Linked DNA regions of Drosophila melanogaster. The protein of the gene in region 1 interacts with the protein of each later gene in a pairwise test. Each region holds a gene or a part of one and is shown on either strand. Other genes may lie near its edges. The genes, in order: CG15878 and CG7191.

Region 1 (3,958 bases):
GAATTAATTAGATATTTTAAACATCCTTTAAAACTGTTCAATGTTTGGAGTCTAAGCCAACTGTCGAGTGTTAATAGCCCGTGGCGTTGAATGTCCAATTAAAGACCGTATTAGGTTGCCATCGTTTGGATGAACAATTTGCATTTTTCTGGAGAAACAAAGGTAACGACAGCAAACACTCCTCTCACGACATCAATCACTTGGCCACACACAAAAATGCCAAGGCACATAGATCGCAATTAATTTACCCAAGCCAACCAGCCAGCCACCCAGCCTCAATTTGGCATGGAGTCAGTCAGCCCGTGTTTGCCCTCCTCCTGTTGCAGCTGCCAGTTGCATCTGCAACCGAGTCTATGCCGGCACAGTGTCTCCTCCTGGCAGCAGATACTCTCCGCTTTCAGCCATTCGAAGAGGACACCCATGGAATGCCGGCTCCATCGGAGCCATCGTTTCCATAGGATCCATTGGATACATCGGCATGACGTCGTCTGCCGTGTTTGCCTGCATGTCAAATTCTCATTTCATTGAAATCGGCAAATATTGACTAAGAACTTCGATGCAATCAACGCTGCCGGCGACTGTGACAAATGGGCGTGGCATGTCGACATCTCGGAGGCAAATCGATGTTGCCGGCATATTTGCATGGCAACGAAAGTGAAACTAGGCGAGCTGGAAAAGTGAAAAGTGAAAGCCCAAGGGAAAGCTTAAACTAATAAAGCGAGCAAAGAATCAACGGTTGAGTGAAAACCACTTGACCCAAAAGTCGTATTTTTCAAACTGACTTTGTGGGTCAGGTATGAAAGATAATATTGTTTTTAGGCTACAGAGCTCACCGCCAAGCGAATTAAATTAAGGTTACTATTTGAACTTCTAACTTCACTTGCATATGCATTTTATAATAAAATTCGTTGATTCTAGAATAAAGTTCTTAAGCACATCTGATGAGCTCTTAAAAACTCCATCTTATTAGTCCGGAAAACGAAACCACTTGGTTATTAAAACATTGCGGCAAATTGCTACGCAACTTTTGGAGTCAATAAACTAAACGGCCAAAACGGGCGAGGCCACTCAGGCGAATCCTGGCGGGTAAGGATAATCAGCACAGCTCAGACATCCTTTGAAGCCAGGTGGGGCGGAAAGAGAAACAGAAACACCTGGGAGCGAGTCAAAAAACAATTTCGCCTCATTATCATTTCAACATATTGTATGCCCAAGTGTTTCAAATTGTTCAAAGAGAGAGAGAGAGCAGGAAAACTCGAAGGACGAGTTGGGCTCCTGATGAAGAAGTTTTCCCTTTTCGTCCTCGTCTAAGGTTGTTGCTGGATGTCGGATGTTGCGGGCGGGATGTTGGTGGGTGGCAAGTGTAGGTGCTGCCGGAAATCACTATGCTCATAAATGCGCCATGAATAAATTAACTCGCTGAAAAGCAAAAGCCAAGCTAAACTAAAAGCCGAGCAAAACAAAGGCGAGTGGCTGAGCAGAGCCTTAGATTTCAAACGAATGATAATAATAATTGAAGCAGCGACCCAAGTACTTGCACAATGGTTAGGTAATAACGCTGTACATGTACATTAAACAAGCAAGAGTGTGCTGTGTATGAGTCGGCACTGAGAGAAAAATGTGATAAGATTGTAATTTACGATCATTCATTTTTCAAAAGGAGTTATTTTCCTAAAATTTTAAAGATACAAGAGGGAGTTAGTGGGACTTAAATTGGTGGCAGTTCCTTGATTCTATTTATTTATTTATTGATTTCTTCTATTCATTCCAGAGCAAAAAAGCAACGTAAGCGATAACAGTCTAAGCAACCGCTTAGTTGCTAGACAACATCAAAATTTCCAGAAACAACAGCTTTATCGATATTCCTGGTAGACCCCGGTGACCCTGGGAGTGTGTTCTCGACCCCCGACAGGAGCAGTCACACCCCGCCAAGATGTCCTTTCACCGGATCAATGTCAAACAAGCTTCCATAGCCGCCCGCCAGCGGCAGTCGCGGACGACCAGGATGACCCGGCACACCATTTTCAATTTGAAGAGACCCATTACCTTCCAGGTGCGCAAGTCGTTGGTGGAGTACGTGGACATGGAGCTAGCGGACATGGACACCTCCGTGTTCTATCAGCGCATCTTTATCCTGGCCAAGAACTGCCACTTGACGCCAGTTGTGTCCAACGAGGAGTTGCTCGCCGACGCGGTGGTGGAACAGGCTGAGCCTGAACCAGATGAAGCGGCGCCCATACAGTTCATGGAGGATGTGATCTTCGACAACACTGAAACGGAATCGCCCATGAACACGACGGCGGATCCAGCGCCCATTCCTGCACCGGAAGAAGGTGCGACGGAAACTGCAGAAGTAGTTACCCACATGTTCCGTTTCAGTGAAGACGATCCAGAAGAAGACTTTGTCGAAGAGGAGGAACTGGAAATGGACACCCAAGCACCCGATCAGCCCAAGGACTTCTTTGCCATCTTCAGCGAGCGCCTGCAGGAGCTGCATAAGCAGTGCAAGGCGCTGGCCATCACGCCGGATCCCATGTGCGGATTGTTTCTCCACATGGGCGAATACAGCATGCTGATGCTGGAGTCCTCCGAGGACATGATCGGATGCTTCACACGGGCCCTGGCCGATTGCTGTGAGACTTTCTGGTTGATGAATCGCGTCTTCCAGATCGAGGATCACGTGCAGGAGCTCTATACAAAAGAACTTATGTTTCGCCGCATCCCTTCCGTCTTTCTGAACGAGAAGTTCCCCACCTCCACGCCCACCGATGAGTATCTCATGGGAAAACAGCATCTGATCATCAAGGATAAGCTGCTGACCATCTGCCGGCTGCTCTCGGAGGGTCAGCAAGTGGATCCGGACGGGATCTCCACGCGAGAAAGCGACATGGAGGACGATATGCCAAAGTCAAAGTCCAAGAGCTCAATCCTAAGCGAACACTTGCCGGTGGAGGTGTTCCGGAAGCACCTGCCCGAGATCCAGCGCATCGAACTGGTTTTGGCATCCACACGATTCTACTACGAGTTGGGAGAGTTCGCCTGGCTCTACGGCCGGGTACCCTTCTCCCCCGACGAGGACGGTCTCTTCTGGCCCATACAGAGCAACTACACTCCTCCGAACATCTTCCGGCGCACTCCGTACGACATAAATCTCACATTTGGTGAGTATGCCGCGGAGGCTAGCAAGAGAAAAACCCAAGGAAGCCTGGTCGGAAGTATAGCTGACGAGGAGGAGGCTCCACCAAATGAAGAGACCCCGCCAAAGACAGAATAAGTGGTTCGGTAATTTGTAGTTGTATTTTAACCTTAGATTTTGTGTCCATTGTATTTTCTAAACCGTCAAGCGAACAAACTGTCAATTCTAAAGAATTCGCGCCTCAGCAAGTATGTTTGTTTTAGCATAAACCTAAAGATTTCGCGTACAAATAAAGAAATCCCATTTATAAAACAAGATTTTTGGTAAATATACTTTAGAAGCCCTGTTTTTTGAGTGTGTCGTCATCAAGAAGGAGCAGCAGTTGTCGCTGTTATCTCTGAACCTCGCGCTCGGTTACAATGTTTTCGGCATTGTGCACATGACTGCATCTCATCTGAGGGCAGGTGGATTGGATGGAGCTGGTGGCTGTCGGGTACATGAATGGGTGTGGGGTTTTCGGCTGTTATGTGGTTTCAGCCCATTCGGGGCTGTCTTGTTTTGGCTTGCCACTTGAATGGCTCGACTTTGTTAACATAAACATAAATTCGCGGTGTGAGTGCGCACATGTGTGGGCTTGGCTGGCGAATGGCTGAATGGTGCGCCTTTTAACATAAACCGCATCAGACGCCAGCTGTCAGTTGTAATACCGTCGGAGCTCCGGGCTTGCAGCTGTCAAAAGCCGCTGCTGCCATTTGGAGTCACTTGACAGTGGGCCAAAAGAACACGGCAGCTTATGGGTGATTGCGTGGGCTTAGGGTGGGA
Region 2 (8,064 bases), on another chromosome or scaffold:
AATCCAAAAACAAACGCGTGAGTCAATTGCACATTTCACTCGCCAACGCCCGACAAGTATGCTACAAATATTTGCTCAGCGATACGGATATGCGTAACGGAAAGATATGCGGGCCAAATAGTGTTCTGAAAACCGAATCCTCGAAAGAAGATTACACGGAAAACTAATTTAGTAAATGATAAGGTCCGCTGAGTTTTCATGTGTATAATGATTTTTGGGTAATGATTTATTTTATTTATTTTTACAAATAAATGTATATGATGATATATATTAATTTCATTATAACTTCATAAGAAATATATTTATATATGACATATCAGGCTCTGTTTCCCGGAACACCAACCACAAATTTCAGAGTAATTAGCTGCGCTAATTTGTTTATCATTTTGTTTGGCACGTCGGCACATGGCGAGATTGCATGTGCCAAACCAGAAGGGCGTGACGCATTTGGATGAATCGGTGGCCATTTGGGTGGGTGGACTTCGGACTGATGCAACTTAAGTCGCACAATCCGCTTGCCATAAGGAGCGTAAAGTATGAAGAAGTGGAGGAGAGCGAACGAAATAAATAAAGACGACTATAAATAGCAGGTTCTGGCCAAAAATATGACTTTTGCCGCGCTACATGAGGAAGCCTCCATCCAGTGACACTTTCCCCTGCCCGCGAGCACTTAAACTTTTCAGCGGGCTATTATTGGTTTTCTCTGCGTAAGTGTCATCTTCTGTTGCCCCAGGCGATTTTCAAGAAAACCCTATATATGCTTATTTTCCCGGCCCGCCTTTTAGGCCAAAACAACACACAGTCACACACACATACATACACACACTCAAAACAATAACGAAAACATCGAAGGATCGTTTGGATTGCCCTCCATTACTAACGGCAATTTCACATTAAAGTGTCATCATTTTCAAGGCCTGCGGGCTGCGACGGTTGTTGACATCCGACTGGATGGATGTCCAGACCCTTCGATTCCTCCTCTGCGATTGCCGTGTTCCTTTTGGATTTGCAGTTCAACTGGGAGTCGGACGGAAAGGATGGACTATTGGCCGAGGCCATTGCCGTTTAAGTTTAGGCAGCAAATGTTTTAAATATACACATTAGCTATAAATATAAAATTTGATTATTTTTTAATAAACGCCAATAGAAGGTAAAAAAAAAACAGACATCAAACCCTTTCGAATTAAATTTTATGAGTTTACCACATTTAAATAGATTTTTTATCTTTTTCCAGTATTTATCAGCCTGACTGATAGGCTATATCATCATCGATCTATAAATATAATCGTTGCCTAATTCATAAGTGCAGCAATATGACAATACCATTTTGCACTGGAATATGACAATGCAATTACATTTAGGCGATTCGCTGGAAATTTTCAAATACATTTCCAAACTACCGGCCTGCAGGGATTTCCGCAGCGTCATGCTTGGCAGGTCCTTTGAGGAACTTTGAGACCTCCCACAGAAAGGCGAGATTCCGAGAAACGAGTGACCCGGACTATTCAGAATACGTTTCCGTAAACAGGGCCGTCAACAAAGGCTTCTATCCACCCCAACCCGCAGATAATTTATCACCTTGCCACGTGACGTCTTTTCGCGACTTGTTGTCTACTTTGCGGCGCATATCGTGATCCTGCTGAATAATTGCCACCGACATTATTCATTCGCGAATATCGCGCTAAACTTTTTAAATGTCCCCAAAATATTTCATTGATAAAAACGGCCGTGGCTTCGTTTTCCAAGGAGGAGTGGCCAGTAAAAGCTTGTTTGAAGCTTTTACGCAATTTTTGGCGCCTTTACATCGGCTCGTTGAAATCGACGCACTCGTCATCGGCCGACGATGGCAACGAATCGGTTTCAACTTCGGATGCGGCCTTATAAAAGGAAGCGGCTCCGCGAGTCAACCACGCAGTGTTCAACAAGTAGTAGGTGCAACAGTTGACAGTATTCCGATTCTGATTCCGATTCAGTAACTCAAACGGTTTCCAGGAATATATTTTAAAGTGAGTGTTAACGGTGTATTTCGAATATCAGTCACGCCAAACTCTTTAAGAAGTTTCCAAAAAATATCTTGTGGTCTGTGTTTAATTTAAGCCAGTCGATTTCATAAAAAGGATAACTAAACGTGACGTGAAATCTTAGTAATGCCGTCGCTTTCGTCATCGATTACAGTGTCGTCAATGAAACTCGAAATACGCGCCTAAAAAAATAAATAACAATTTGTGGACATATATTAAATATGCCAAATAAGAACAGGAGAACTCTTATATTTAAAACTATTAAGTGAATTCGTTCTTAATAATACAGAAATATTTTTAAGGCAAAGAAAAGCCAGCTAAAACTTAATTCATTAATTCAGTACTTTTTCTTTGGTAAATTATTTTAATCTGCTCTTATATTTTGAATTGTATCAGAAGATATTTAACACAAAACTACCTTTGGCTTAAAACTGAAAATTACCATAAAGATAGAGCCTAGCCATTGTAAGTTCTCTTCAAAAATAAAAGTAAAATTTTCTTATTTTATTTCACCAACGCTTTTTACAAGAAAACCCCATTTATATGATTAATTTTATATATTATACTAATCTTGTAAATGTTTAACTACAATAATTTATTTTTATTAATTTATTAAAGTTCAAGCTTTTTAAGCACAGAGCATCACAGCTGAACTAGTTAAATTTAAAAATTCATTTCATTGCACTGGTGAGCTTACAAATTTTGGGAAAATTGGTTTTAAGGTTACTCGGGACAGCAATCCATAAATACTTTATCAATGTCAATAACTCAAGGAATTCCCACCAATGCCAAACACAAATGTCAATAAACCAATGAAAATCTAGGAGAAACAAATAGAAAAAAGCATCAATATTTGTTGTCCCCGACCTCGTTCTCTGTTTCAAACCCCTTAAGTTCCACGTGCAAAAATTCCTGACAATCGTATAGAAATTTAAAAAAAAAAACTGAATCAATCGAAAGCATTCCAAAGCTGTTTTCATGTCACAAAAATTCAGCATCCCACAGGATTTTCTCCTGGAGAATGTATTTACTGAAATTGGTTGTGCTATTTCTTTAGACATAGCAACTGAAAAGTATATCTAGAGGTATTGACTTACATTCCGCAGGCTATACTTTTCATTAAAGATTAGTACACGATTTTGTAGTTGGCGAGGATTTAAAACTGCAAAAAAAATACTTATGAATTTCATGGAATTTTCTTGGCTAGCACCCTTTTTTTGATTTTTCGTAGCAATCATTGCCGTCTGTCTGGTCCTTTGGTTTGGCTCAAACACTTTGTGTAACCTTTTGTGTGCAAATTTTGACAAGTATCCCAGATGGTCGGATTCAATAAGTAGAAAAGTTATGTAATATCCTACCCAGGATTGTTACGCACGTAGACCGTGTCTAATTGGCCGGACTCCGGCGACAAAATGTCCGATGCACTTGACCAACTCCACATCCTTAGCCCTAATTAAGCAGTTTTTCCGCCACACATGTCCAGGTGGTACGTAGGCGAATATAGTGGCAGATAAGGCCTATGAAAATTCCTTTGGGTTCGTGTGCGTTTCGGTTACACTTCAACTCAATTTAGCAATTAGCTGTGCGGTTATTGCGAAAAGGAAAACAGGCGACGGGTAAAAATGAACGTACAATTATATATGGGTTCCTGAAACTTCCCTCGCTTCCAAGTTAATTTCATTTTACCTTGGGGACATCGCCAACCAGGGTGAATTCCCTTCTTTTGCTTTTTTTTTCCTATTTTTTGTTTTTTGGGCTCTGTCCACTTTTTGACACTGTGTCAACAAGTTAATTAAGGCATTTTAACAACGATTCGTGTTTGCTTTGTTTACTTATAATTCGTTCTCTCCGCAGCAATTTCGAATAAGTTGTGCTTTCCCAAAAATAACGCCAAAGTGTCGCCCACTTAAGTGAGTGCCAATAAAAGAGGAGTAATTGAAAAAGTTTTCTTGCAGGAAATGCCCGAAGAAATTGCAATTTATTTCCAAAATTAATACCAAAAAAAAACAGGAAAATCGCAATGCACTTAAAGACCTAAATCTACGAGAGAACATTGTTCGCAAATATTTTGACAAAGTTGCAAATTTTCAATTGAATTTAATCAAAACGTGACGAAAAGTGAAAAGAAAATCATCCACAGAGAATTTCTCTTTCTCCGAGCAATTTTAATGAACCAAATGCAACCGTCTTTATTTTTTTGAGAGGGCGTGACAGAGTTGATTTGCTTGATTGATTTATGTGGTTAACTAACCATATAAATTGAGCTAATTTCAATGTATTTATCTGTGAGGTAGAACAGATTTTCTGGAAAATATTTTAATAAAGATTAATATTATTAAATTATAGAATTATGTAATAAATTATAATTCCTTAAAAAAACAGACGCTTAAACTTTCGCAGCAAACAGCGCTTTAATTATTTACCAAGCCCTTAATTAAATAATGAACTTTGGATTTCTTGGTGAAAATTTTCACACTTTTTTGTCGAAATTTGTCTTAGGCATACATTATTTTCAGTTGCTTGGGCAGACAAATTAAGCCGATCCTAGACATCTCAACCAGCGAGACCGCAAGTGCCAAAAGTTTCAGGCAACTCATTTATATTGCTCGTCAAGCGAATGTTTTTTAAACGCAAAAAAATGCGATAAGGTTGGCGGGTTTCCCCAAAACCCCAACAACCAGGCTCCTGAGCTAAATGGGCTAAAAATACGCTGCGAAGGAGTTAAGCCCACTCGCTCACTTCGGCGACGTCCCATCCTTAATTAAATGAAACGACAAAGCGCACAGAGTGGGCCCAGTATGAACCGCGATGCAGTACCTGACATAAAAAATATTTATAAAAGCACACAAACACCTACTGCACAGTGGTGGAAATCTATGCGAAAAGTAATAGCATTCTTATCAATTTTAATTAGAAACATCTTTCGTTAAAATCTACAAGAATTATAGAGTAGCTTTCATTTGTCTATAAATAAATGGGATGTTAAAAATTAGGCAGTACTTTTTAATATTCGAATATTAATATAAATATATTATTTTTCTGATAGTTGAATTGTGTAATTTCTACTTTATAAACAACATACTGCATCCGTCTTTGTTATTAACTATTTGTCTGCAAAGTACACAACCTTTATATTTTTACCCAATTTTTAAATAACGGCCTTAGTTAGTGGAAAAGGAGTAGAATTTGTTTGCCCGTATGGCCCACGGTTCTTCGCGCGAAGAAAGATTAAGCAGGAGCGCAAAACAAAAGCCCCAGAATCAGCCGCCAAGTTATCCAAGAGACGCCCTTTTGACGTTTGGCACCCACCGCCCATTTCTCCAGTTTCCCTCGCGATTCTCCTACTTTTGGCGGGGGTTTCTTGGTTGCTTGCGTGTTTATCTGAGTATTGTTTGCTTGAGCACAAAGAGACGCCCACACGCACGGCATAATGGGGCGGATGGGGTAGGTATCCATCCCATGGCCGTGGTAGTGACGGTAATTACCCTCTTGTACAAACATCTACGCTTTTTTTTTTTTTGCCTTCCAGAGACATCCACATCGCCAACGACCCGCGCACTAATCCCGAGCTCATCCGCAGAGGCTGTATGAACATGAAGCCCGACATCCTAGCGCTCTGCATCCTGGCTACCACGATCCTGTGCAGCAGGACGCGTCACGTCGCCGGCTTCCTGACTGCACAGTCCACCGCCAGCGGAGGAGCAGGCGGAGCAAACGGTGCCAAAGTGGGTGACCATCAGGGCGTGGCGTCCGTACCACAACGTCTTCATTTGCCCGTTCTAGCGGTCGGGGGCGGACCCGTTCGCCAAGGACCCGCTCTGCCCGGCGATGTCCTGGATGCCCAGGAACGAGCTGTTTACGATCCCGGCGATGGTGAGTCATAAACATCCCTATTACCGCTTTCCTTGCCATGGTAAACTTCCCGGGCATCAGCTAATCCCCAGTCGAATTAAAAGGATAGCAACTGCATCCAAAGACCATTTCAATTAAATTGTTATCGGGTTCTTTTTGAATGCGAAGACGTAATCGTGGTCAAGGTGAATCCTATAACCAAGCTATTCCATCGCCCTATAAAAATATATAGACCTTATTTATATTAGCCAAATTAATAGGCATTCTGATCCATAAAGCTGAGGAACTGGAACTGAATCTGTTCAGGAACTTTAATAAATGAACTAGTTATTTTGTTGTCATTTAGCTATTTTTCTAAAATATTTTCAATATTTAATGGCAGTTATGGCCTCCTATTTACTCCTCACCTGAGTACATGATTACGTTCAAAATTTTTGCTTGCCGACTTTTAGGCGACCCATTCGAAAGGGGTGGACCAAGAGTTAGGGTGACCCATGGCGTGCACTTAGCCGTAACCGTCGCCCACCATCTCTATCCCTAATGGCCATGGTGACCACCGCTCGCTGAACATTTTCGGTCAGTGCACAATTTTTCAAGTGCCTCACATTGTTGACCATCGCACAATATGTGGAGCATGTGTTTGTTTGTGCTGAGCACTTAAAACGCCCACCAAACTGCCCGGGATAGATTTTCAAATTTGTTGACGAATTTGATTCGACGTTTGCGTTTTACGTTGCTACCACCTACCTTCTACCAACCGGCAATAAAATGTCATATCCGATTTTCAATAAGCGAACTTGTTTTCCAAGCGATTTGATAGATGGGTAAATGGATTGGAAATTTAACGAATATCGATTTGGTTTGAGTTGGTAACATTTGAATTTTTGGACATGATCTTATAAACATACATATATGAAACAAAAATTTAAATTTATTTCTGTTTCTGATCTCGAAACTATTTATTTCAATTGAGGAGTCCTTAAATTTAAAACTGTAAATGCTTTGGGTTCATGAGCGTCCGCTGTCTGCGGCTCTTTGAAGAGACATCGAGTGGACAGTGATGGGCAGACTGGATGCCAAATGCGACAAAAGGCAGTCAAGGAGTTGCAGTGCCTGTTGACTTGACTGACGGACGTGGTCGAAAAGCCGAGAAGGCTTCCCCTGCCGCGGAGGGGAAAAGGAATGCTGTGGCCATAAACTCATTGCCGCCAGTCAATTTCCGCCAGTCCATTGAAACGACCGAAGAGCCGGGGGAAAACATATTCCAGCCAACCAGGACAGACAGACAAACAAACTATTCAAACTTTCAAATATCAAACGGCGGAAGTTTCCGATGGCAAGGAGCAGGAGTCGGGGAATTAAGTGGGAGTGGGAGTGGAAGTGGGAATGGGAATGGCAATGGCGTGGTTGTGGTCGGATTAGCGACAGCTTGAATAAACATTCAAATCGCAAATAAGGTCTTTGGCTTGCTCATTTCACGGCAGAATTACTCCGCGCCCAGGAGCTCGGATTGGCAGTGGTTCCTCAAGGTCCCGACTACGCGGATGCGGTGTACAACGAACTCGAGCTGGCCAGCAAGTTCGAGGTGCTCAAGAAGATGGAGGAGGATTTGCGTGCCGAGCAGGAGCTGGTGGACAAATCCGCTTTGCTCATGAAAATGCTGGAGGTGAGTGCGAAGACAGGCTGTCGAAATTTCGATGAAAATGTTGAAAAATACACGGTAAATTAAATTTTTTTAAAATATTAAACATAAACATCAAAACATATTAGCTTTTGCTTATAAATAACTTTTTGAGTAATGCATACTTAAGTGATAATATTTTTAATTTTTATTAAAATTTTAACACAATTTTTTGATCTATGTGCATTTTTTCGCTCAGGATCCCTCATTGGAAACCTTGCCCTTGGTCTACGTGGAGGAGGAGGAGCCGGAGGCTGTGATTCCTTCCGGCGGAGCCGAGGACTACGCCGACTTGGAGAACGCCGTTCAGGATTTGGTTTTGGGCCAGAGCAAATCCAAGCGTTCGCGCTACTATCGAAGGTATCCATGGAAGCGTCACAACAAGAATCGCGGGTAGGTTGCTTTTCTATATTTAAACATTATTCACAATAATCCGAAAATCCACCAAGCACTATACTCAGCTCCATTGACCGCTAATTAATCGAACCCACTTTTCATTTGTAGTTAGTA

What was found.
Region 2: the proteins of CG15878 (region 1) and CG7191 interact in a two-hybrid assay, tested with the Drosophila melanogaster proteins (one large-scale study listed by BioGRID).

Annotation. Positions count from the first base shown.
Region 1 is NT_037436.4:2,210,364-2,214,321, reverse strand, and holds CG15878 (uncharacterized protein), read left to right. Parts: upstream 1-1,818; 5' UTR 1,819-1,933; coding exon 1,934-3,274; 3' UTR 3,275-3,449; downstream 3,450-3,958.
Region 2 is NT_033779.5:7,765,712-7,773,775, forward strand, and holds the start of CG7191 (uncharacterized protein), read left to right. Parts: upstream 1-1,916; 5' UTR 1,917-2,006; intron 2,007-5,550; 5' UTR 5,551-5,608; coding exon 5,609-5,894; intron 5,895-7,357; coding exon 7,358-7,539; intron 7,540-7,753; coding exon 7,754-7,947; intron 7,948-8,064.